Saccharomyces cerevisiae S288C: one gene and its partners. Changing the gene in region 2 together with the main gene of any one other region gives a genetic interaction. Each region holds a gene or a part of one and is shown on either strand. Other genes may lie near its edges. The genes, in order: ELA1, SMP1, NDI1 and TMS1.

Region 1 (6,349 bases), on a different chromosome or scaffold from region 2:
AAGATTTCAACAAACACATAGAACAGCCCATAGAAGTTACTCCAAGAAATAATGCATATTTACCAGAATTCGAACCCAATAGACCTGTTTCAATGTCCTTTAAAGGACTAAAAGCCCCAAGAATGAATACTTCTTTTATTGACTCCATGACGCCTGATTCTCCCGTAAAATCAGACTTAACAAGTCTAGGTGAGGTGTATGTAAACAGTAATAATGACCAGGGTGTCCGGTTTTCGTCCCAGATAATACTTTACGACACTTATGGAGAATTCGAATATGATAGACATCCAGAAATTTCCACTTGTAACCAGCTTACTCCACAACTGGCTCAAATGATCAAATTGGAATTAAATGAGTTAAAGAGCGCAATGGAAGTACACGATGATTCGCGATGTTACACACATTTTTATTAGAGCAGAAAACTGGGAGAAATGGAAATGAATCAAATCATACATATCAAGACATTCTAGTTTTTATAAACCTATAATTTATCGCAAGAATCTTGGGTGTTATGTGTTGTATTTGCGGCATCATTTCAAAATACCGTCTGCATTACCCGTCTCCGTCACGTGAAGTAAAAATTTCCAAAAAATATTGAAAAAAGAAAGAAAAATAAGATCCAGAATTCACTGATGATGAGCTTATGGTACGGCATGATTAACTACGCATTTGTATATTAAAGATTCTTTGATTTTTTCCAGAGCATTGAATACCTCAATCTATAAGTGTATTATAATGGCATGCAATTTTCAGTTTCCAGAAATAGCTTATCCAGGTAAACTAATATGCCCACAGTACGGTACGGAAAATAAAGATGGCGAAGATATAATTTTCAATTATGTGCCCGGTCCCGGAACTAAACTAATTCAATATGAACACAACGGACGAACTTTAGAAGCTATAACTGCTACACTAGTTGGGACAGTGAGGTGTGAGGAAGAAAAAAAAACTGATCAGGAAGAAGAGCGTGAAGGCACTGATCAATCTACAGAGGAAGAAAAATCAGTAGATGCATCACCTAATGATGTCACAAGAAGAACTGTAAAAAATATTCTGGTTTCAGTGCTTCCTGGGACAGAAAAGGGTCGTAAAACCAACAAATATGCTAATAATGATTTTGCCAATAACCTACCGAAGGAAGGTGATATTGTGCTGACCAGGGTGACAAGGCTTTCGTTGCAACGAGCCAATGTCGAAATTTTAGCTGTGGAAGATAAACCATCTCCAATTGATAGTGGCATCGGCAGTAATGGATCGGGAATAGTCGCTGCTGGTGGCGGTTCTGGAGCAGCTACGTTCTCTGTTTCTCAAGCATCATCAGATTTAGGTGAGACATTCAGAGGTATAATCAGGTCTCAGGATGTACGGTCTACAGACAGAGATCGTGTGAAAGTGATAGAATGTTTCAAGCCGGGAGATATTGTTAGGGCGCAAGTTTTATCATTAGGTGACGGAACCAACTACTATTTGACCACTGCAAGGAATGACCTTGGGGTCGTGTTCGCCAGAGCTGCTAATGGTGCTGGTGGATTGATGTATGCTACAGACTGGCAAATGATGACTTCACCGGTTACAGGCGCTACAGAAAAGCGCAAATGTGCCAAACCTTTTTGATATGTAACAGCTTATCTACAGTGCATATAGACGCGTATATATTTAAAAGAGGGTATTCGCTTCTTCTTCTTTAGATTGCATTCTTTGATGGTTAGGAAAAAGAAGCGGGAACGTGATTAAACTTTTTATTCTCTTTTATTTATTATATATTATAGTGCATTATCATTATCTATCTAAATTTGCCTTTACACGGTACTGCTTTCCGATTTTACTGGGTAAAGAAGTTTTTCATGAGTACCTCTTAAATCAACCTCACTTAAACCTACAATACCACCGAAGCTTTGAAACCTCTTAAAATAATGATCTCTTTTTTCACGCGCGGTTTCCACCAGAGCTGGCCAATAAACATCATGATTGTACTTGAATTTCAGATCACCACCATACAACGAATCTAGTTCGTTCTTAGGGACATATTTAACAAATGGTTCATCAAAAACTAGCTTTTCACGGGTCAGTGGGTCAATAAAAGGGTGAATTAACTTCAAGAAAGTCCATGCTAACCAAGGAATATTCGTCAAAAGTGCTTTTCCTAGTCTTTCTGGATAATGAGTTTGTAGAATATGCAGCACTTCTTTCCCTACACCAATAGGTGGGATTTTACTATTGCCAGGTACTTTAGGAACATCAGGGTAATCTTTAAAGTCTATTAGCAAAGCTAGAGAGTCTTGACCAGCTGGCATAAAATCGATAACTCTTTCCAACATGAAGACCAAGTGCTGTACCTGTCTGTGAGAAGTCTTTGTATTTTGTCTGCCCGGTTTCAAATATAAGATAGGTCTAGCATCGTTTTCGTAACCCAAAATCACCTGCTTACCTGATTCGTTCTCGACGGCCACCAAGTCAGCAGTTATTTTATCACCATGCTCTTCACCTAAATGACTAATACCGAATTCTCTTCTCCACGCTAGAGTCATGGTGATTCTATCGATACAGTCTTTTAGCACCCATTTAGTAGCCCTTAGGTAACGTAAAAAACATTCTCTTGTCAACCATGCCTTTTCTTCTTCCTCTAAGGGTTTAAGATCATCCTCCGACTTATTTTTTTCACTTGTATAAACCTTCAAGTCAGGGTTACTGAAATGTTTTAGCACTTCGTCATACATTTTTTGTTGCTCACCTGTAAGTGGTTTTTCTTTTGGAATAGCTATCGAAGCAGGAAGTTCTTTGATAGGCTTATCAATATTAATCAAATTTTTTGGGTCTTCTGGAGCCTCCTTCTTTTTGCTAAATCTCTTGAACATTTTTTGCTTTTGTAATTTTTTTTATATAAAGTGGTTTTGTATTATTTGTTGGATGGAGAGAAGGGAACAGTTAGAAACAAAATAAGGATTGAAATATTTTTCTAACGAAGAAGTGGTATTAGTCTATCTAGAACTGATATATATACATACATATATATATATAAATATATATATATTCAGACAATGAGCACAATATTGTGCATGTACAAGAGTGGGATGCGCATATAGTGCATGAACCTATTGCGATAAAGATCTGGCAATATATAGAGAGATATATCGCATGCTTGCACTCAAATAGAGTCGGGTGGAATGAAAAAAATCATAAAAATTACTAAGACGGAAGACAAAAAGATGACGCGCAACGCGAAAATCGCTTATAAGCAGGGATGCCGTTGCTTCCGGTTGCTTTCTTTCTCCGCGGAATGACTGGACCCGTGGGAAATCGCAGGGGATGTGACGGCCTTCGGAGTTGGGTTACTGCTATTTCCGTGGCTCATAGATATACGGACGGGTAGTAGGGCCGGTTGCGGTCACGTGCGGAAAACTATCTCCGTCAGATCCGGCATTTCGTACGAAAATTCCGGATTTCTTCTTCTTGTGGCCCTTTGTTACGGGATTTGCGGTGACACTTGATATTGAAGTTACAACATCTTTGTGGGGATAAGGATGAGAAGTAGTACGGTGATCGTTGGTGATCGCTGTTGTATGGGGTCGAGAACCTGCAGCGTTTGTCTTCGGAGTAGGCCTGAATAGCGCAGGTTTTTTACGATTGAGAAAGATTGACGGTGATTCGGATCTTCTCTTCTTCACCGGCGTGATGGGCTGCGTAACATCTTTCTTCTCTGCTGTGACATTATCCATTTGACGATTTACCTTAACAGGCTCCGGTTTGATGGACAATGGGCCTTTCTTGGGGGAAGACGATTGTCCGCCCGCTTGGCCACCAAAGGCCACACGTTGCGCATGCCTTTTTGCAATGTTGAATCCGCCGTCTTTGAAATGCTTTAGTCTGGACTCGTGATCTTTCAACGATTTCATGTATAATTGCGAATGGGGTTCGTTGTGCAACCTTGTAGTCTTCTTGGTGTTTCTCTTTTTGAAGTAAACAGTGTGGTCAACCACTATGGTTTGCTTTTTTTCTCTTTCTTGCTGCAACTTCTGCATTTCCAGCCTTAATCTCTCTGCGCTTTCCTCTTGTTTCTTTTCCACTTCTTGTTGGTACTTTGAGTATAACATTCTGTATGGTATTCGGTACTTGTTGTTTCGGATGTCTTTGACGACTGATTGACGCACGCAAGACTTCAATAAATCCTGATTCGAATGGTACAGTTCTATATCGTTTTCCTTAACGAAATCAAAGTAATATTTGCAAATAATGTCTCTCTTAGAGACAAATTGTTCGTGTACATTAGTCGGGAAATCTTGCCTTAAAAATTCTAACCATAGTTCATCATCGTCAAATATCAATAGTACGTTGCTTTTCTCAAGTTTTAATAGTTGTGGTATTTTTACTTTCTGCAGTATCCTCTTTAATAAGTGATAGGGGACATTACTCACAGATTGTATGTTTGAATGATTTCTCATCAATGAGATTTCACATAGTGTTTGTAAACTTTTCATATCTCGACATCAATCGATTTATACATTCACTAGAACGTATTTCCATGAACAAAAACCGTTTGCATGTAAGTTACATATGTATCTAATCGTCATAACTGAACAAATCCCTTCTTCGCAAATATTAAATATTTGAAATTTTCTATTGTGATCTTTCTTAAGCCCATCGTGGCAAATGCCGAGAAAAATACGCAATTGTACCAGCTTTATTGAAAGCGCCAGATATACAGTGACAACACCCCGAATATAGTTGAGAAATTTATAGTATTTCAATTATTACATAAAACAAAATTTTGGAATTCTGTGGTTGGGGTAACAAAGAATAAATAGAAGCAACAGAAATTTCAAAACTATTATATACTTCTATGACATTTTTGTTTATATTTGCACTTAATTTTCCTTTTTGTCTGCCTATATACATACCCTTATAACCTTCTTTTCCTCCTTCTTCTTTCTTTCTTGTTTTTAAAGCAGCCTTCATTCACCACGCAATGCCTTGATGACCGCGGGTCTTCTCATCATATGCTTCGTCCATTTGTAAACTTCTGGAAATTCAATTTTGATATTAATGCCAATTCTATCCACGACATTATTCCATGGGACAAAGGCCAAATCTGCTATAGTTAATTTATCTCCTACAAGCCATACGGGATAATCAAAGAAACGACTTTGTGACATTGGTGTTGTACCAGCTGAGTATGCAGCCGCATTTTCCGTGTCTAATTCCATCACCAGCGCTTCTCTACGTTCAGCCAAGGCCATCTCCACTACACCGTAAACTCTTCTAACCTCATCCGTATATCTTTCTACAGCACTTGCTATCTTTTGTGAATGGAAGTATCTGAAATGTAAAGCTTGTCCAATCATTGGCGCATGCCCTGACGTTTGGAAGAACAACCATGCGTTGATTTGTGATTGGTCAGCTAAATCATCGGACCAGAGTAATGGATTACCAGTCTCTTTGTAATATTTATTTACCAAATGTAATAAAATCGCCCCTGATTCCCAAATAGACAAGTTGTCCATACCATGATCGATTAAAGCTGGAACTCTTGCATTAGGGTTCACAGACACAAATTCGGGGGCCCTATGTTCGCCAAGATTGAAATCTAGGAAGATTGTGTTATAATGAAATCCAAGTTCACTTAGTACTATAGCAACTTTGAATCCATTAGGCGCAGACCTGTGAGAGAAAAGGGTATATCCCTCCAGTGGTTGTTCTTGAAAAAATTTTGTAATTCTGGAATACTCCACGTGACTCATATCCGAAAATGCCTGTTGTTGTTGTCGATGTTGTTCTAAGGTATTCTTGATATTATTCTCGTTATCATTATTTTGGCTACCATTGCGGCCGCTGTTATTGTTTTGAACATTATTGTTATTACTACTGCTATTGTTATTATTATTATTATTTACACCTGTTGAAAATTCAAAATTTATATTACTTTGATCGGTGGTTGTATTACTGTTCCTGTTTCCTATGTTTACTTGACGGAGCGCATTGGAGAGATTCGACACTTGGTTGCCGTTGTTATTCATCATTTGGTGTACAACTTAATTTGCAGCTTAAAACAATATGACTAATAACAAAAAATGAAAAACTAAAAATAAAGAAGTTCGTACGGGGGATCTTTATTCCTCTTCGATTCAATTCAGTGCTATAAACAATTCCAAATGAGCTGTTTGAAAAGGAAAGATTTTTGCTATTCTTTTCAACCTCGAGTAAGGAAGCTTTCGTCTTTGTATAGTTGCTTTTCTGGCCTAGTAGAAAGGAAAACTACATGCTGAAGCCACTCTTCCTCAAAAATTCAATAGTGGCAGCTCATCAATCCTCCTATTCGGCGAGAATTGAAAAAAAAATTCCAGGCTGCGTCACC
Region 2 (6,638 bases):
TCAAAGCTCTTTGGTGTCTCTTTCTTTGCAATCTTTGAGGAGTAACCAATCTTTGGATCTTTGGAGCCTTGGTGTAAGTCTTTTCACCCTTGGTGACTTCTCTTCTGATGACGAAATCACGAACGTCATCTTCCTTGGACAAACCGAAGAACTTTCTGATGTTGTTAGCTCTCTTTGGACCCAATCTCTTTGGAACAGTAGTGTCAGTTAGACCTTCCAATTCTTGTTCACCCTTCTTGACAATGACCAAAGCCAAGACAGCCAAATCTGGACCAACAATGGCACCTCTGACGGACTTTCTCTTTCTTTCACCATCACGTCTTGGTCTGTAACAAGAAACGTTCTTGGTCAACAACAACTTGATTCTAGTTGGCAACAAAACACCTTGCTTCATTGGGAAACCTTGTTTGTCGTTACCACCAGAGATCTTGAAGACGTAGCCCTTGAATTCATCACCAACGGCTTCACCATCGACTTCTTGACCGATTCTCTTGTCGAAGAAAACACGAATACGGTGTTCATCATCAATTTCGAAGGTCTTTTGAGACCCGTTGACTGGGTAAGAAATGTTCAACTGTTATAAATAATACCATTTGTTAGTAAAGTTGTCCGAAGCCAATATCGACAAATTCCAACGAATCCCTGCTGTCCTTTCTTCCGTTACAGGTTTTTCTTATTTTCATTGATATTTCTAAACCCTTTTCGTAAATTCCTTTTTCATTCCTTAATTTGAACTTAGCGAGATATTTTCCTAAGTGTCGGTACGTGTATATTAGAGGGAATTATCTCGTTTAAACAACGTTGTTCTTGAGAATTTTTATTATAGTGCACTAATTTGTGGGTATACGTTTATCAAACAGTCAGAAACAGCCGGTTAGCGCGTGCTGATTCATTAGAATTCTAAGGATTTGGGTGATATTACATACCTTCATGATGGCTCAGTCGTCTATTCACACTGGATAGTTTCAATTAATGACTTCCAAATGTTTTGAAGGGCACACTATTCAAATTAAGATCACTTTTCATAAAGATGAATTTTTCTCCCATCAGGCATTCATTGACCGTGCCCTACAAACCAAGCCAGCCGAGATTGTATCAGCTCCACGCACATAGGATTTTCGCCTGCCCTTGGCCCATACCGAAAGAGTTTCCTAGGATGATGGGCCGGCATGAAGATAAGCGGCCTGTATGCCCGAGACACTGAAAAAAAACAGCAAAAAAATAAGATGTATGGAGTTCAAAGATGTATGGATGCAAGAAAAGAGGTTAATGGTGCAAACTGTAGAAAAAAAAGTAAGGAAATAATTTATTTTTAATAAAATTAACTGAAAAGATACATGTATATTTTTCTCAAATTAATCAATGCAATATGTGATATATTTGCTATCTGGCTTAATGAGATAATTTTTTACATAATTATGTTGAGAAGTTAACAGGGCAGTCTCTATTGTTTTGATCGATTGAGTGCACAAAAATTGGAAGGGGGCCGTGGAGCACTACCTGCAAATTGCTAGAAATTTGCGTCACTACATCTGAAAAATGTACGAGCGACATAATTGTCTATAGCCCTAATTTAGAAGACGTTTGCCTAAATGCGCCAACATACACTCTTAATTTTAAGCGAATGCTTTCTTGTAGTAAAAAGTAGCTAGAAAGCGATTCATTAATCTGGAGAGTTTGTCGAACTCGTGGATTTCAAAGTTGAACTAGCTACCGAGGAAGGAAAAACCACAATAGATGAAGACGGGCTTTTCGGAAATTTAGGCGGTCTTCCAATTGGCGGTTTCAGAAAGAATGTTTTGTTATTTACATAAGTGCTGCCACATCGGCCATTATGATATAAGTCGTCCATATCATTGTTCTTGAATCCCAAAAACTTTGAACGAGAAAGAGGGGAGGACATGTTGCTGGCGAGCATTTGATTGGGAGTGGCTTGTACATCCGTTTTCGGTGATGCGGTTCCTGAATACATTGCTGGCGACCTCTGGCAAGCGTCATTTGTGGCCTTCGGAATATTTAGCTTTAAATATGGCTTCCCTGAGAGCTTTCCTCTATTGCTGTTCAGTTGGTGCAGGTGATGGACCATCGCCTGCACTGGAGCTGGACCTTCCAAAGTATTTGATATAGCAACTGTCGGGTGTATCTTTTGCTTTGCTTCAAAGCTCTCGCTGTCACCCGTCCCATTAAATCCTTTTCCCATTGGGTTACTATTTGCCGGAATAACCTGTACAAATTGCGATTGAAAGGATGGAATATTGCCCACTAAACTTGCAGGCAATGAAGGCTTTGGCAAATTCTCGTAAGGCGACGGGTAAAAATTATGATAATTAGAGTGGTTAGATTCAGAAAGTAGTAAATGAGTATCCGGCCTAATCCTCTTGTTCATAAAATTCCTATGAATAGCCTCGTTTGCAACATGCTGTTGGTCTACGCTTTCTTTATAATCATTAGCATGAAAACTCCCACCAGAATTTAAACCGCCTTGCAACATTTGATAATCTGCACTATTTCTTGCACAGTCAGAATGATTGGATCCGCTACGTGATATTGCTCCGTGGCAATGCACCAATGGTGTACTTACACCAGCGTTCCCGGCGTCATTTGACGCCAACGGAGCGCTTAAATTCCCATTGTTTTGTACACTGGAGGAATCTTGACTCGAAACTGTACAACTCCCAGAATGGGAAGCTGGTTGCAACACGGTTGCTCTTCTTCGCCTGCGCTTCCTTTCATTCAGAACAACACGTGGTTTTTTCACATAGTCACCATAATCAGATGGTTCTATGATATTATGAGGAAGATCAGTGTTGTTTTGATGAACATTAAGCAGGTTACTCATATCAACAGAAGAGTATTCGTAGAATGTATTATTGGATCCTAAAATAATGACAGCAATGTCTACTTGGCAAAGTACTGACAATTCATGAGCCTTTTTAAATAGTCCTGCTTTTCGCTTTATGAAAGTAACTGTACGATTTCTATCATCTTTGATAGGTTCAATTTCAATTTTTCTTCTACCCATTTAGCAGAAATTTTTTTGAAAATAATTGTGTTTGCTTATCTAGAGCTTTATTAAATTTTTTTCTGATGAGATAGGCCTGCTCGAAAAAATAGTCTGTCTTTGAATTTGGCTCGTATATTTCTCCCTTCGAATGAATGATAAAGAAAGACTCAAAGGAATGATGTAGTGTTATATAGATTGGCTAAAATAATTTGGCAAAAGAAAGATGGATAAGGATAGTTCATGTTTTTGAGTCCTTCACGAACATAGGAAGCCGGGTATGCGTGGAGATTTAAGTTTTGCCAAGCCTCCAATTACTCGAGCGAGATTATTTTTGCAGAAGAAACAAAGACGCCGCTTGTTACTAAAAAAAGAAGGCAACAATAATGCAAAAAGTTCGAACCAACTGTACCTCAAGCCGTTTTGTAAGCCACTATCATCGGGAACGGTACAGGTAGAATGATAGATGAAATTTACGTAAGCGTTAATGGAAAACAATAACGATGTGGTGTAAAAGCTAGTGCGTAGTGTGAGTGCCACTAGTTTTCTTTGACAGCTTAAGAGCAAGCTTTTGGAGCTCACAATCAAGTGAAACAAGAATTATGTTCATTTTCTCCTTCGGAACTGCAGAATAAAAATTCTTTATACTATAAACACCGCCATTATCAAAAAAGTATTGCTGAATCATGGTATACAGCGTGAAAATCTTCATGGCATTTCTACAAATTCTTTTTAGTTAGTATCGCCAACCATTAACCTTTTTAGTAATGCTGACGTTAAACGAAGGCGAAAAAAAATACTTGGCAACACCATCGTTTATATTTTTTTCAAATGGAAGTGTCGGCCGACGTAGCATAGCAGGAAAGATTCAAAGGCAAGGGTTTCACATAACGTTACCCTTCTGACCACGCCCCTTCTTTCGATCCCACTAGTGCGGACGGATTATCACGCAAGTTTTTTAACGCGAGACATCGGAAAATATTTATGCCGATTAGATCCGGCCCCTGAAACTTTTTGTTTGATACTTTCAAACGCACTACTCTACCCCATGACATAAAAAATATCTGTCTCCGGTTATATATGTCTAAATAGAATTCGGGTAGCATTTTATTTTTATCGCTTATAGGAAAAAGATATTTGCATATATATATCTATATATCCTATATACATCTATATAGTTATTGTGTAAGGGGTTTTTATAAGGTCCGATACTTACAGAGATTAATTTGTAAATAAAAGCAGAAATCTTTATTTAAGAAAATAGAAGATTGATGGGAATATTTCGTTGGAACTATCCAGAGAGTTCTGTCCCCGGCGTTTGGGGAGAAACAACTTCCACTATTGACTGGTGTGAGGAGAACTATGTCGTTTCTCCCTATATTGCCGAGTGGTCAAACACTTTAACTAACAGCGTATTCATACTGTCAGCGATTTACACAACTTACTCTGCTTACAAGAATAAATTAGAAAAAAGGTTTTTACTTATTGGCTTCGGGTACGGTTTGGTCGGAGTAGGATCATGGCTATTTCATATGACACTGAAGTATAGATTCCAACTATTGGATGAACTTCCAATGATATACGCCATGTGCATTCCGACATGGAGTTTAGTATGCGAGGCCAAAGAGGCATTACTTAACGGAGATAATCACAAGAAGGTTCCTCTATTTGAACAGATATTCATCGGCGTAATTATCGGCCTGGCCGTTACAACAGCAAGCATACTCTACGTTATTTACAAAAATGTCGATATCCATCAAATTTTGTTTGGCGTACAGATTGTAGTTGTGGCTGCTACTGCAGGAAGTTTGACGTACAGATACGTCCATGATCCACTTGCCAAAAGAAATCTCAAGGCTTCAATGGCGCTCGGCGCAATTTTGTTCTTATCTGGCTACATTTCGTGGCTACTTGATATACACTATTGTTCGTTCTGGGTGCACGTTAGAAGAAGTATTTTGGCTTTACCACTTGGTGTACTGCTTGAACCACACGGATGGTGGCATATATTAACTGGTATGGGGATTTATTTCTACATTGTTTCTTTGGAACATTTAAGGGTCATTACGCTCAACGTCAGCTGCAATTACCAGTTCATCTGGAGATGGAAAGTCTTCCCTGAACTGATATGGAAAGGGCGCAAACCCTCAACAAGATATTCACTTGAACTATTTGGCCCATACGTAGAAGATCAATCAATTGAAGTTAAAAAGGAGAAGTAATAATTATAGCATAATATATATTCATAATGTATAGGCATATTTATTTTTTATTTTTTTTATTTCATGTTCTATTTAATGACGAATCACGAAGAAAATATATCTAAGAAAAGATCTTTTGAATCCTTGATTTGCGAATAGTTTAAATGACCCAGCTTATTGCTCTGGTGAAAAAAAACTTTGTGCGGTCTCAAAGCCGTCGGCGGCAAAATAACGTGAATTGATGAAAGTAAATAAACAAAACAAAATCTCTAATTGTTGTAACACAAATACTAAGAAATTTGTTAGCTAATTCGGGACATGTACCAAAATAATGTATTGAATGCTATTTTGGCTTCTGAAAAATCAAACTTTCAATACGATAGTGGAACAATATTAAGAAACCACAAAAGACCAATAATAACATTTAATAACAACATAGAGCACACAGTATCCGAACCTAATAATTTTACAGGCTATGAGGAAAAGGAAGATTTGGATATAATGGATATTTGTCCTTATTACCCAAAAGCAAGAATGCTGGCGGATGCCATTCAACATGCCAAAACGAGCGCAAGTGAAAACAAAATGGAACTATCAATGAAAACTATCCCATGTCTCAAGAAGGAAAACGTCCATGTTGAGAAAGGGCACGATTGGTCTCAACTCAGTACGAGCAGAATTTGTAAAATTTTAGAAGACATAGCAGATAAAAAAAATAAAACTAGAAGGCAATCTGCCCCATTACAAAAGACGAAGTATTTCCCAACAAATGAGAATCAAAATACCGATATAGAAAATCAGAATTGGTCCCAAATCCCCAATGAAGACATATGTGCACTTATAGAGAAGATTGCTAGCAGACGCAATAAAAATCGCAAACGGAAAAATCTTTCATGTTCTAAAGTCCAAGAAATTCAGGGAAATATTGATTTACCCAAAAAAGACGTACAAGAGGGAGATATTTCAGATTCGTCTCTATTTGCAGCAGTAAGAGGAACCAAAAAAGTTTCCGGATATGATTACAATTCAGAAGATAAGATACCTAATGCGATACGTCTTCCTTACTGTAAGCAAATATTACGATTATTCTCACTTTTACAAATGAAGAGAAATGACTTAATAGTCACCTCTGAAAATTGTAATAGCGGAGTTTTCTTCAGCAATTTTAATTATCAACTTCAAGTTAAATCGAATTGTATTGCAAATATTTCTTCTACACTCAGTTTTCTACCCCATCATGAAATAACCGTATACACATCCTTTATTCTCTATCCAAACGTTGTCGATAATATTTGGGAATGCACACGATACGCTATTCAACTTTTGAAGTCCGAAGCAGCACAGTTTACGCTACTGCGTGATATATATAGTGGCTTCACAATTATACTTTCAAATCATCGATATCATCCTAAGGGTTTTAGCGCTGATTACTGTTA
Region 3 (6,405 bases), on a different chromosome or scaffold from region 2:
GTCCAATATGGTGTGTTTTATAGTGTTGAAAGATATGAATATTCCACAAGAATTAGTATTGGAAAACATCAAAAAAGCCAAAGAGTTTTTCCAATGACTGAGGTGAGTAGACGAAACATTCGGCAATTGAGTGTTTGCGGGGCATAAGAATTATAAAGCTTTCGTTACGTATATACAAATGGGATTTGGCGTATAAAATAAATAGAGAAACATAAGAGGAAGAAATAAATAATCACAGATATATATATAGGACAATGGGAGGAAAAAGCTGAAGTGATCAACCAATCTTGTCGGGGTTTTTTGCTTGTGCATTAGTCAAGCATCATTTCGAAAAAAGTGGGAATATATAAATAATAAAACATCATGTGCATTTTTTTGTGCGTGTGTGTGTGTGTTAGGTTTTGTTTAGAGGGTTTTAGAAAAAAAAGGATGCAAACTCAGGAAAAAACGGTGCCTACCACCTTTTTTCCTTTTTCCAGAAAAGGGCATGTTAATTTCATCTATAATCCTTTAAAAAAGTCTCTTTTGAAAAATGCTAATTTAATCCAGTCGAAAAAGACCTTTAATCTCGATCTTGCAGATAGAATCATGGACAAGTACAAAATTCTCCATAAGTAGAAGGTCATTAAGCCACCACCGGTGTAAAATGTTCTCTTACCGGAACGTATGGTTGCAATGGCCCTTTCGGATCCCAGGTATGCTAAGGCACCTAAATCGTTGTATTTGAAAGGTTTAAAGTTGTTCTCCTCGAACAAGAGATCAATTTTATCCTTTCTTGAAGATAGATTCTTTTGGAAATTTGGTATTTGAGCCATTTTATCAAAATTCTTGGCCAAATATTCGGCCTCTTGGTGCGCTACTTGGGCGGTTGGTGGCAACCCAGCAAATGCATTGTCACCAATGGCGAAAATGTTGTTGCTGCCTTTCACCTGCAAAAAGTCATTCACTGCCAATCCTCTCTTGGACGAGTTTTGCTCAGGAATTTTCTTGAAAAGGTCAGTGATTACCGGTCTTGCCTTGTTACCCGTGGCCCAAATCAAAGTACCGTATGGAATAGTTTCTTCGGTTATTTTACCGTCTTCGTGTTTGGTCTTTGCCAACAATTGCTTTTCTTCAACTTTGGCGACAGCCGTTCTCAGATGTACTTTGATCGAAGTGTTTTCTAAATGTGATTGCGCGTATGATGAAAGCTTTTTCTCAAACATATTCAAAACGATGGGCAGAGCTTCGACCAAGTGAATTTGGACTTCTTCGGCCAATGCAGGGAGAAACTTTCTCAGGTCCTGGTGAACATAATCCTGTAGTTCACCAGCGGCCTCTACACCAGTAGGCCCACCACCAACCACGACAATGGACAGTAGTCTTCTTCTTTCGGGATCACCCTTTGGCAATAAGTTAGCCTTCTCTAGATTGGCGGCAAAAGTTCTTCTTATTTCCAAAGAGTTGGGAATTTCCTTCAGGAAATGACCGTAATCAGTGACCCCAGGAATACCAAATGTGTTAGGTTCCGCACCTACAGCACTGATTAAATAATCGTACTTAATTTCAGCAGGTTCTGCTTGATGCAGCCCTAGATGGTTTTCAGGTTGGTATAGCTGGCTAACGGCAGATAATGATTTTATGGTAACGGTATTCCTGTCGGGATTGATAGAGGTGGCTTCTGCCTCATAGTAGGTAACGTTCCCCTTTTTCTTGAGAGCAAAATTAACGATGGGCTCAATAATTGACTTTTCGTCTACTGTCCCAACTGGTGCAGAAGGTAACAAAGGCGTAAATAAGAAATAGCTTCTAGGAGAGATGATGGAAACGTTGTACTTCTTGGTGTCAATGTGCTTTAAAAACGAAATAGCTCCCCACCCCGAACCCAGTATCAGCACGTTTGGTTTGTCGCTGTGCTGAGGGTCAATGACTTTCATGGTCTTAAAAGATGTAGGACCTGCTCCGGAGTTTTCCACCCCTGTGGATCTGGTGGAAGCGAATCTGACTAGCGTATTCGTCGAGGTGAGCAACCTCTTGTTACTATACAAATTCTTCGATAGCATAGTGGTTTTTAGTTTCTTCTCTTGGGTAAACGTGTAATTCGATGATGTGATGAAACTGACACCCTACCTGAAACTCCTCAATTGGTAGTTAAAACTCCTTCCCCACTATGCCCTATACATCTTATATATACCCTGTCGACGTTGCAAATACCGGCAATAACCAAGAGCGCTAAGGGGGAGCACTCTTATTGTGGTTACCCGGACGTTCAATGCCTTCATATGATTGGTCCGAATGAATAGGTCATGAGAAAATGCATATTTTTGAGGCATTTCAGCAATGATCGGCAATCTGCACATATTCGTATTGTTTCCCTGAGTAAGTTATTTGCGGAAAGAGACATTCTATTGCTTTGGAGTATTTTGTGGTCTTCGACAATAAAGCGAAGGAATAATAGGTTCGTTGCTAGCGACAAGCAACACATAGTTGTAGTGATGCTATAGCAAAGAAAGGTCACAGATTCATTATTGACCTTTTAAATGGTGCCCAGTGGCAATTGCCGTTTTAGCATTCTTTAAATGCGTAGTATATGAGTTTTAAAGTGCTTTGTTGTTCACGTGCTTTTCACGTGTATGATTACTTAACCGGGTAGCGCCGGTCTTTAATATGCTTTCCAGATTAGGAAAGAACATAAATAAAAACACAAAATAAGAAAGTGTCAATCATCCGCATTGAAAGAAAGAAAAGATTTTTTTATCCCTCAATTGTACATGAAAACAGAGACCTTTCAAAACGTATTTTAACATTCTTTTACTCTTTTCTTGCACCTGCAGCCTTAGGTCAGTAAGAAAAAAAGTAGGTAGCAATGAGCCCAAGTCCATCAGTGTCGCCAAGAAGGACGCTCAATAACAAATCATCTTACATCAATAACAGCGGTGGGCTGGTCCTGCCTCCTACGCAGTTTAATTTGAATCAGCAGCCAGTCCTGAGCTTCCAACAAAAAGCGACTTTCGATTCCAACCAGCAGTTTTTCTATTATCCAGAGTCACCCACAAAAAACCTGAGACCAAGGTTTAACAGTATTTCGCAGGTTAATAAAGGAGTTAATGAAGACCATTATACCGGGGGCGGTAGCAGTAATAATAACAGGCCATCTAGATATACAAATACCATGGGCGCTGCAAACACCAATGTAAATTCCCATCCGCATCATCAGTCGGTGTCGCATTTAAATTCTAAATCTCTTAAATTCAATCAAACGAAGGAAGTGAGCAGCATAAATGAAATTATTTTTCCTTCCAGAACGTGTACAAAGAAACGGTATTTTACCAAGCCAATTGATTTGTATGGTACAAGAAGTAGCACTAGTGTGGCACCTAAGTTGACGAATTCTCCCACGAAATCAAAAACAAATTTCAACATCAAGAAGTGCATCTTACCTAGGTCCGTCGTTACCACATATAAATTACCATCTCCAGTGCACGAAACGATAGACGATATATCCAAAAAAATCATAATCCTGCTAATTTCGTTGAAGTTTGAGAAAAACTATCACTTCTTGCAACCTATTCAATTGTCCACAAATAGTAAGACACGGATCTCAAAATCACTAGACGAATTATGCGGAGTGCAGCTGACATCAACGTTACGGCAACAAAAGCAGCTGCAAGGTAACAGCAAGCCCGTAAAGAATCTCCCTAATTCCAATGCGAAGCAGAGAGCCGGGGCCAGTGTTTCCACAAATGCCAACGAAAGCTTTGAATTGAGTTTTGATGGAAAGGCAATGGATAGATCTGATATATTTCGAATGGTAGATTCTTTTAGCATCGCCATTTCAGATGAAGATGAGGAAGATGAGGAGGAGGATAGCTTTCAGCAGAGAAGTGCGAACAACAGAATCCTCCCTGCGGAGATACTAAGTAATGAACCTTTGAAATGATACGGATTCTCTGTATTCTGTCTATAGTATTTATATACCAATACATTTTTCCGCACTTTGAAGTTTTGCATTTTACTTAATGTAGTTTATTATTAGTTGCCAAAACGAAACATTTAACATGTGAATTAAAAATACAAAAAAAAGCCTATTAACGATCTAAATTTATGACAAAAGACATATAATTATTTTAATGATGCCTTTGTCACAACCGAACACAATATCTTTGAAAAGTGATCCAGCAATCGAATTCAGAATTCGTTGTGCCATTTTTGCCTTACGTTTGCGCCATTGTAATTTCTCTGTGCCGTCTTCTCTTCACTTTATTTCAATATTATCATGCAGTAAACAAGTTGCAGAATAATAAATAATATACGTACCAAATATGTGAACAACTCAGATACTATTCATTTGATATGTTAAAAGTCCTGCATTCCTCTCCCGACATTATATATAAAATGCTCAGCCACCCCTTCGTTGCACAGAAAAAAAGGATGACCTATAATACCAATATTCAATCACAATAGTTATACCAAACTAACACATGGTTGAAGCAGACTACTTACTATCGTGGAGTTAGCTCACTGAAAATTTAATATTTACAGCATTAAACAGTTTTTTCTTTTGTTTTGTCTCCTACATTAATTTCAATATGGATAGCCAAGTAGAAGGCAAAATATCCCCCTCACAGAAGGAGTCCTCCTCCACCTCAGGCCTCGTTTCACCTAGTGAAGATGGCCCAGCACATCAAAAAATACACAGAGACCAATTAAGTGTGGATCAAATCAAGAAAATCAGAGAAGAACGTGCTCAGAAGAGACAGGTACGTAGGAACTCTCTAATATCCCAAGGGAAGGACCCTGACTTCCCAACGCCTGACTTACAATTCATTGAAAGACCATTCCTCCCTATCAACCATGATAATTCGAAAGGTCTTACGCCAGCGACCATACAAGTCACCCAAGATTCATTGGACGTTAAAATAATGACCTATAATACTCTAGCACAAACCTTGATTAGGAGAGATTTTTTCCCAGAAAGTGGACCAGCGTTAAAGTGGCATAAGAGATCAAAAGTTTTGGTCCACGAATTGAAAAAGTACAGGCCTGATGTAGTATCGTTGCAGGAGGTCGATTACAATGAACTCAACTTCTGGCAGGAGAATTTCCATAAGTTAGGGTTTGATGTGATTTTCAAAAGGCATGAAGGGAAAACTCATGGACTACTAGTTGCATGGAACAATAAAAAATTCCAGTTAGATAATGATTGGATGCTGGACTACGATAATATATTGGCGGGAAATGTCATTTCAGCAAGAACAAGAACTAAAAATATTGCCCTTATTATATCGCTATATTTCAAGGGTATAACAGATTCATCATCAAGAGGAATTATCGTCGCAAATACACACCTATTTTGGCATCCCTTTGGGGTATTTGAAAGATTAAGGCAATCTTACTTGGTTTTACAAAAGATCCAGGAAATTAAAGCATGTTCCAAATATAATGGCTGGCATAGCCTACTGATGGGTGATTTCAATACCGAACCTGAAGAGCCACCGTACTTGGCCATAACGAAAAGACCACTGATATTAAAAGGCCCAATAAGAGCTATGGTGGAATGCTCACTAGCGTATCGGTATTCAAAAAAAAGGAATGGAGAAGAAAGTGACCAGGATGATGAAGAGTGTGATGAAAAGTCTAGGGGCGAAGGCCATTCAGATCAACCACAAAACCCAAAACCAGAGAGCTTTACAGCCACAAAGGAAGAAAAGGCTCTGGTAAATCAATTAGTTGCGTTGCATAATTCACTACATGTGAAAGGCGTATCTTTGTATGGGATTGGCTACGGTAAAGTGCATCCTGAAAATGCTAACGGAAGCCACGGCGAACCGGGACTCTCAAACTGGGCCAATACATGGTGTGGATTATTAGACTACATATTTTATATCGAGGGTGATCATAATCAGGACACGCGTCAGAAAGAGCCTCTGAATGCTTTTGAAGGAAATAACAACGTAAAAATAATCGGATATCTGAGGATGCCGTGCGCACAAGAAATGCCCAAACACTCCCAACCTTTCGAGGGAGAATATGCTAGTGATCACATTTCCCTAATGTGCCAAATACGCTTGTTTTTTGGGGGGGAGAAAGTGCATAGCTTAAAATAAAGAAACAATATATATAAACAACCTACATTTGTGTTTGAAAGACAGTAATCAACGCTTCGATGGTCACTGGGATTTTTCTTTCAATTTAGCGTCACTTTCACCTTATTCACAGCTTTTACGTGCTATTTTTGGTCACCCTTCCCCTTTCGTTGCGCCTCAACGGGCTAAAAAAAAAAAAATAAAATCAAGCATAGAAACACCACAACAAACCTGCCCTTTTTCCTTGTTTCAGGTTACGTGAAAAGCATCCAGAGAAGATATCCCAAAGACTGAAGAGGTGTAGTTGGCTCATTCACGTCGTTCGTTTATATTATCAAGG
Region 4 (6,304 bases), on a different chromosome or scaffold from region 2:
AAACTTGGATAATGAATTCCATGAAGATTCTGGCTGGAAATTGGGCCATGGTGACGTATTTAGAACCCCATCTAAGTCGATGCTGCTATCCATTCTTGTGGGATCCGGTATGCAGTTATTTTTGATGGTCATGTGTAGCATTTTTTTTGCCGCAGTAGGTCTTGTGTCGCCTGTTTCCAGAGGATCCCTGCCAACTGTAATGTTTGTTCTTTATGCATTATTTGGATTTGTAGGATCCTACGCCTCAATGGGTGTCTACAAATTTTTTCGTGGACCCTATTGGAAGGCGAATATGATATTAACGCCAATATTACTTCCTGGAGCAATTTTTTTACTGATTGTAATAATGAACTTCTTTTTGTTATTTGCACATTCTTCAGGTGTCATCCCAGCGAGAAGCCTATTCTTTATCATTCTTCTATGGTTTTTAGTTTCTGTTCCGTTGTCGTTTGCGGGTTCAATTGTTGCTCATAAGCAGTGTAATTGGGATGAGCATCCAACTAAAACAAACCAAATCGCCAGACAGATTCCATATCAACCCTGGTACTTGAGAACAGCACAAGCAACCTTAATCGCTGGAATTTTCAGTTTCGGATCAATAGCGGTTGAGCTGTACTTCATTTACTCCAGTTTATGGTTCAACAAAATTTTTTATATGTTTGGATTTTTACTCTTTTCATTCTTATTGTTGACCTTGACAACCTCATTAGTTACCATCTTGATCACATATTACTCGTTATGTCTAGAAAACTGGCTATGGCAATGGAGAAGTTTTATTATTGGTGGTTTAGGATGTTCAATCTATACGTTCATCCACTCCATACTATTTACTAAGTTCAAGCTTGGTGGAGTTATTACTGTCGTGCTCTATCTCGGATATTCACTTATTATATCTGCATTATGTTGTGTCGTCACTGGAGCGATTGGTTTTTTTAGTAGTATGTTTTTTATTAGGAAGATATACTCTGCCATTAAAGTTGAGTGATTTCGTTATTCTCTCCACTAAAGTAAAAGAAGTGAATACGTTAGTTTTATTTTTTTTTTTTTTTTTAATTTTTTGAGAAGTGTTTTACTTCGCAATGCATTTATATCCTATATGTCCTGGCAAACTTTTTGATAAATTGGAATGCAAGTTTTAACGCGTTTTTATGTAGCACTAATACACTGTATTGAAGATTTTTTTTTCTTTCACAATTTGGAAACGATTATATTGGATATATATTAGAAGTTTTCCTCGAGGATATAAGAAATCCGCAAAAGGGAATCAACAATTCTATATAACAACATTATTCTCTCTCCGTTTATATTTTATATTAAATTCATTATCTTATTAAATTATCAATTCTTGCACTTCAGCTTCCATTAAATCCGATAATTGTTATGAAGTCTTCTAACAACTCATTCGACATTAATAATAAAGAATATTATTCGATATATTTATTTATTTTTATTCCGGCAATAATAAATCTGAAAACGAGTTACTCTTTCAAATGACATGATAGTTATCAAATCCAAATTCTTTAGGAGAGTGTGTAATTAGGTGAAATATTAATGGTTAACTTTCTGTTGTATTACGGGCTCGAGTAATACCGGAGTGTCTTGACAATCCTAATATAAACAGTCTTAGGGAAGTAACCAGTTGTCAAAACAGTTTATCAGATTAATTCACGGAATGTTACTTATCTTATATATTATATAAAATATGAATCATACTAAGTGGTGGAAGCGCGGAATCTCGGATCTAAACTAATTGTTCAAGCATTTATACGTTTGGGTAGTTCAGCTAGGGAAGGCCGTGTTTTATCTCATGTTGTTCGTTTTGTTATAAGGTTGTTTCATATGTGTTTTATGAACGTTTAGGATGACGTATTGTCATACTGACATATCTCATTTTGAGATACAACACTTTCGATCCAAATTGGTCTCTTGGCCCAGTTGGTTAAGGCACCGTGCTAATAACGCGGGGATCAGCGGTTCGATCCCGCTAGAGACCATTTTTATTTTTTCTCCTCTATTGTTAAAAATAGCTCTTTACTATCATAAACTTTTACATCAAAAGCTCAATAAGGCTAATTGTTGTGGAAAGACGCAGTTTGGTGAAGAGAACACTTCCTGTTTTTGTTTTCTACATATACATAAAGCCTATTGTAAGCGCTTCACTCCAGTTCTGAAGTAATAATCAAACCAATCAGGAGCAATATGAGGATTGTTATAAAACTCATCTCTTTCTATTCCTACAATGTTGCTCCCCTTATAGTGCAGAAGTATTTTCGCGCATGCAGAACCAGCCTGCCAGTAATTTTTAGGAAACTGGATTTTGGACGTATCCATTTTTAACTTGAATAAATTCCTTATTACTGTTTCATACGCCTCTTCAATGTTTACTATAATGATATTTTCTCTCAGTGGCCTTCTCAAGTCGATAGGAAGTGACTCTACAATATTTTTGACAAGATTTATTACCGGGGTTTCATCTACTTCACAATTTTTAGAGTTGTATTCTTCGTCAAAAAATATTGGCATGTAGAGACTGCCCGGGAGAGGAATTCTTGACTCAACCTGTCTTTTGCCTCGTTTTGAGTATTTTATGAACTGTTGCAAAGGTCTAAGGTCGAAAATAGGTACGCATGTAGTATAATTGGTACCTATATCTATAACTATGGCATTCCTTGTATTACAGGATAAGCAGTGCACAATGGCCCTGGGGACAAACGAAACGTGAGCGCAGTCAAATTCCTTAAACAAGATGCTACAAATAATTCTTTTCTCTACTACAGAAATGAAGATATCTTCTAGTATCAACACTTGTACTTCTCGATTTCCCAAGATGTTGCAAATTTGGAAGTAATGTTCAAATATTTTTTTCAATTCTTCCCTATTTTTTTCATTAATACTACCTGTTTTCCAGGCGATAATTTCTTGTGGACACGCATCAGCACTTCTTCCAATTTCGATTCTGTTAGCTCCCAAATAGACTATCACAATAGTATTCGACATTTCCTCATAGGGTTTCCTGGGTAGATTTTTTTTATCATTTCACAGTGTCGAATATTGTAGTATTTGTACCTCTTTTGTTTATGTCTCTCGGCTACAATAGAAGTTCCGACAATTAGATTCTAACAAAAAAGAGAACTGTTTTTGAGGTCTTTATGCCCCCAAAACGAAGTTTATAATCAAACAACAGATTTACTTCATATCAAAATACCCATCACAAAGTACAACAATCTACCATGGGTGCCGTAATTTCTTTGCCAGTTAGCATGGCGGGCTCATTCGTGGCGTCCTGTTTTGGAGGTTGCTGCTCAAACTTGGTGACTAAGACTGCATCTTCCCTAGGATCTTCTTCTTTAGGGACAAGACTTCTGTACGCCGTTTGGCTTTTACTTAACTCATTGATATCATGGGTGTCCTATTCTGCGAACAAATCAATCCTATGGCCAGGGAAGACATGTACTGGGACTGGGGAATGTGGATTTTTTACAGTTCATAGGTTGAATTTTGCATTGGGATGCTTACATTTGATATTGGCGCTTGTACTAACGGGCGTAAAGTCGACTAATGACGTAAGAGCAGCATTACAGAATTCGTGGTGGAGTTTAAAATTTATACTGTATTTATGTCTCATTGTTTTGTCATTTGTCATCCCCAATGACTTTTATATTTTCTTTTCCAAGTGGGTGTCAGTCCCTAGTGGAGCAATTTTCATCCTGGTTGGGCTTATATTATTAGTAGACTTCGCTCATGAGTGGGCTGAAACGTGTATTAGTCACGTTGAGTCAGAAGATGAAGATTCCTCATTCTGGCAACGATTTTTGGTTTTAGGGACAACTTCAATGTATACCGCATCGATTATCATGACTGTTGTTATGTATGTTATGTTTTGTCATCAACAATGTAACATGAATCAAACAGCGGTAACAGTCAATTTAATATTAACTGTTATAACGCTTGTCTTATCGGTGAATCCTAAGATCCAAGAGGCCAACCCTAAAAGTGGGCTGGCCCAAAGTAGTATGGTTTCTGTTTACTGTACTTATTTGACAATGAGTGCCATGTCTTCCGAACCGGATGACAAAATGTGTAATCCGTTGGTTAGATCTAGTGGAACCCGTAAGTTTAGTATCATTTTGGGCTCTTTATTTACTTTTATTGCGATTGCTTACACCACAACTAGAGCCGCTGCTAATAGTGCTTTTCAAGGCACCAATACTAATGGTGCTATATATCTCGGGAATGATATCGAGTACGAAGGACTAGGTGGACAGACAAGAAATCAGTTGAGGTATGAAGCTATTAAACAAGCTGTAGAAGAAGGATCTTTACCGGAAAGTGCCTTATATGATACCGCTTGGTTAGGGACATCATCTCCTACAGGCGCAATGGATAACCAAAATGATGATGAAAGGACTGGAACCAAGTACAATTACACTCTGTTCCACGTTATATTCTTTCTGGCAACCCAGTGGATTGCAATTTTACTAACAATAAACGTTACCCAGGATGATGTAGGTGATTTTATACCCGTAGGAAGAACATATTTTTATTCTTGGGTAAAAATAGTTAGTGCATGGATATGTTATGCCCTTTACGGTTGGACAGTGGTAGCCCCAGCGATTATGCCCGATAGATTTGATTACGAGAATTACTATTAAATAGACTAACACAAAAAGATTTTCTTATAATGTATGTAACTTTTTTTTAAGTAGCCCCCAGTAGAAACACTAATTTTACTATACTCATGCACTAGTTTCAAGAAGATGAGTAAACCTCCCTCAAAAAAAAATGGATCTTAATTATCTAATTGAGATATCGCTTCTCGAGGATTATTTTAACTATCCTCTATTTATTTGAAATGCCAATTACAGTTATTATCGATCGACCGTTTTCGAAGGATCTCTTTTCTTCTTTTAAAGGTAGAAAACATTCTCTCAACCTTCTTTATGCGATATTCGGAGTTTGCGCCGTGCTTCAAAGATATGGTAAAACAAAATCATTGTGGCTAAAGAAATGTCTGGTGAAAATATCAATAACAAAAGTCAGCATACAGTGATTGTAAAAGAAAGGGATTTGTCTTCGAAACATTTCGAAATATGGATTCTATCGTTAATGTTGTTGAAGACGATGTTAAGTACGCGCAGAGAGTGACTAGCTTCAGCTCACCACAAAATGCAAATGTCAAGGTCTTCACCATTCCCCGGCATTCCTTCACAGCGTTTAGACTGTCGTATGTTTCACCTACAGAGCTTTCAGCATGTTCACAGGTGACTTTGCTAGGTGGTATTCCAAAACAATGGTACGCTGATCAAAATAATCAAGTCTGGAAACTTCTAACTAAAATTTCACTTCGGAAGGTTAGGAAGCAATCTGACATGCTAAGAAGATATGGCTATGGAACAATTTACAAAAAGCGTGTAGGGAAGATCCCAACTGCATTGTACTTAAGAAAGCACTTTACATGGTCCTATGAAGATAATACATCAATTCACAACGGTCATCGTCTTAAAGAAGCGGAAATGGAGATGAAGAGAACTAGGTCAAGTCCTGTGCAGAAAAGTGAATATAAATTAAGTCTACCCAGAAGGTGTAGGAGTTCTTCCGATCAAAACTTCATGCGACAAGAGCTTTTGAAAGAAAAAAAATCAGAGCTTTCTAGAAACAATAGTTTGCCTCTCATCGATACGGCGCAAGCCGTGGATATCCACCCAGTTTTACATGAAGAAGATCAAGAAAATACAAATAAAAGGAATAAATCACTCCTTTCGAATTTGAAACGAAAAGATCTAGGGGAATCAAAAAGCATATCCAGAAAAGATTATTCGCATTTTGATAGAATACCGAGCCCCTCTTCAGCCAGAAGTGTTGGAGAAACAGACTTTAATTATAATAGAGAACCTTCTGAAGATACTTTGAGATATCCCGACAGTATAATTGAAGTAACAAATCGGACAAGCCCCGCCCCAAATAGTATTCTAAGTAGATCAGGACAATTTGTTAACTCGAATGACCTAAGTGATGGCTTTTCAACATCTAATACTATCAATAACGTGGGATTAAATGCAAATGAAAAGATTTTTTTTAATGCTCTACAAAGTATGGAAAAGGAAAACTTGATGCTGTGGAAAACATCCCAGAAATATGGGACTTATCTCGATGAAAGACGTAAAAGTGCGGATGCCTTTCAAAAAAGAGAAAGAGGTTCATGCGTGGACATTGGTAAGTTGCATTCGAGTCATCTTCCGTTTATTAATATCCTACCTCCATGGCCTACCGAACTGACGGAGGAAGAGAGAATTATACACGATAG

Evidence for each region.
Region 1: mutations in SMP1 (region 2) and ELA1 together harm fitness more than expected from each alone (negative genetic interaction), as found in Saccharomyces cerevisiae (2 studies listed by BioGRID).
Region 3: of SMP1 (region 2) and NDI1, changing one suppresses a phenotype caused by changing the other (phenotypic suppression), as found in Saccharomyces cerevisiae (one study listed by BioGRID).
Region 4: mutations in SMP1 (region 2) and TMS1 together harm fitness more than expected from each alone (negative genetic interaction), as found in Saccharomyces cerevisiae (2 studies listed by BioGRID).

The regions. Positions count from the first base shown.
Region 1 is NC_001146.8:214,188-220,536, forward strand, and holds ELA1 (elongin A), read right to left. Parts: upstream 4,476-6,349; coding exon 3,336-4,475; downstream 1-3,335. Other genes in the region: BNI4 (Bni4p), read left to right, coding at 1-413; exosome non-catalytic core subunit CSL4, read left to right, coding at 736-1,614; PDR16 (phosphatidylinositol transporter), read right to left, coding at 1,800-2,855; URE2 (glutathione peroxidase), read right to left, coding at 4,950-6,014.
Region 2 is NC_001134.8:591,843-598,480, forward strand, and holds SMP1 (Smp1p), read right to left. Parts: upstream 3,023-6,638; coding exon 1,664-3,022; downstream 1-1,663. Other genes in the region: 40S ribosomal protein eS6 RPS6B, read right to left, coding at 1-574, 927-932; YBR182C-A (uncharacterized protein), read right to left, coding at 3,519-3,713; YPC1 (phytoceramidase), read left to right, coding at 4,273-5,223; YBR184W (uncharacterized protein), read left to right, coding at 5,521-6,638. UniProt on the Saccharomyces cerevisiae protein: Transcription factor that controls part of the HOG1-mediated osmostress responses. Binds to the DNA sequence 5'-ACTACTA[TA](4)TAG-3'. Does not appear to function in the MPK1 pathway.
Region 3 is NC_001145.3:27,766-34,170, forward strand, and holds NDI1 (NADH-ubiquinone reductase (H(+)-translocating) NDI1), read right to left. Parts: upstream 2,043-6,405; coding exon 501-2,042; downstream 1-500. Other genes in the region: Rag GTPase GTR1, read left to right, coding at 1-97; YML119W (uncharacterized protein), read left to right, coding at 2,846-3,919; NGL3 (3'-5' poly(A) RNA exonuclease), read left to right, coding at 4,569-6,086.
Region 4 is NC_001136.10:663,697-670,000, reverse strand, and holds TMS1 (Tms1p), read left to right. Parts: upstream 1-3,230; coding exon 3,231-4,652; downstream 4,653-6,304. Other genes in the region: TMN2 (Tmn2p), read left to right, coding at 1-985; ARP10 (Arp10p), read right to left, coding at 2,143-2,997; SPO71 (Spo71p), read left to right, coding at 5,091-6,304.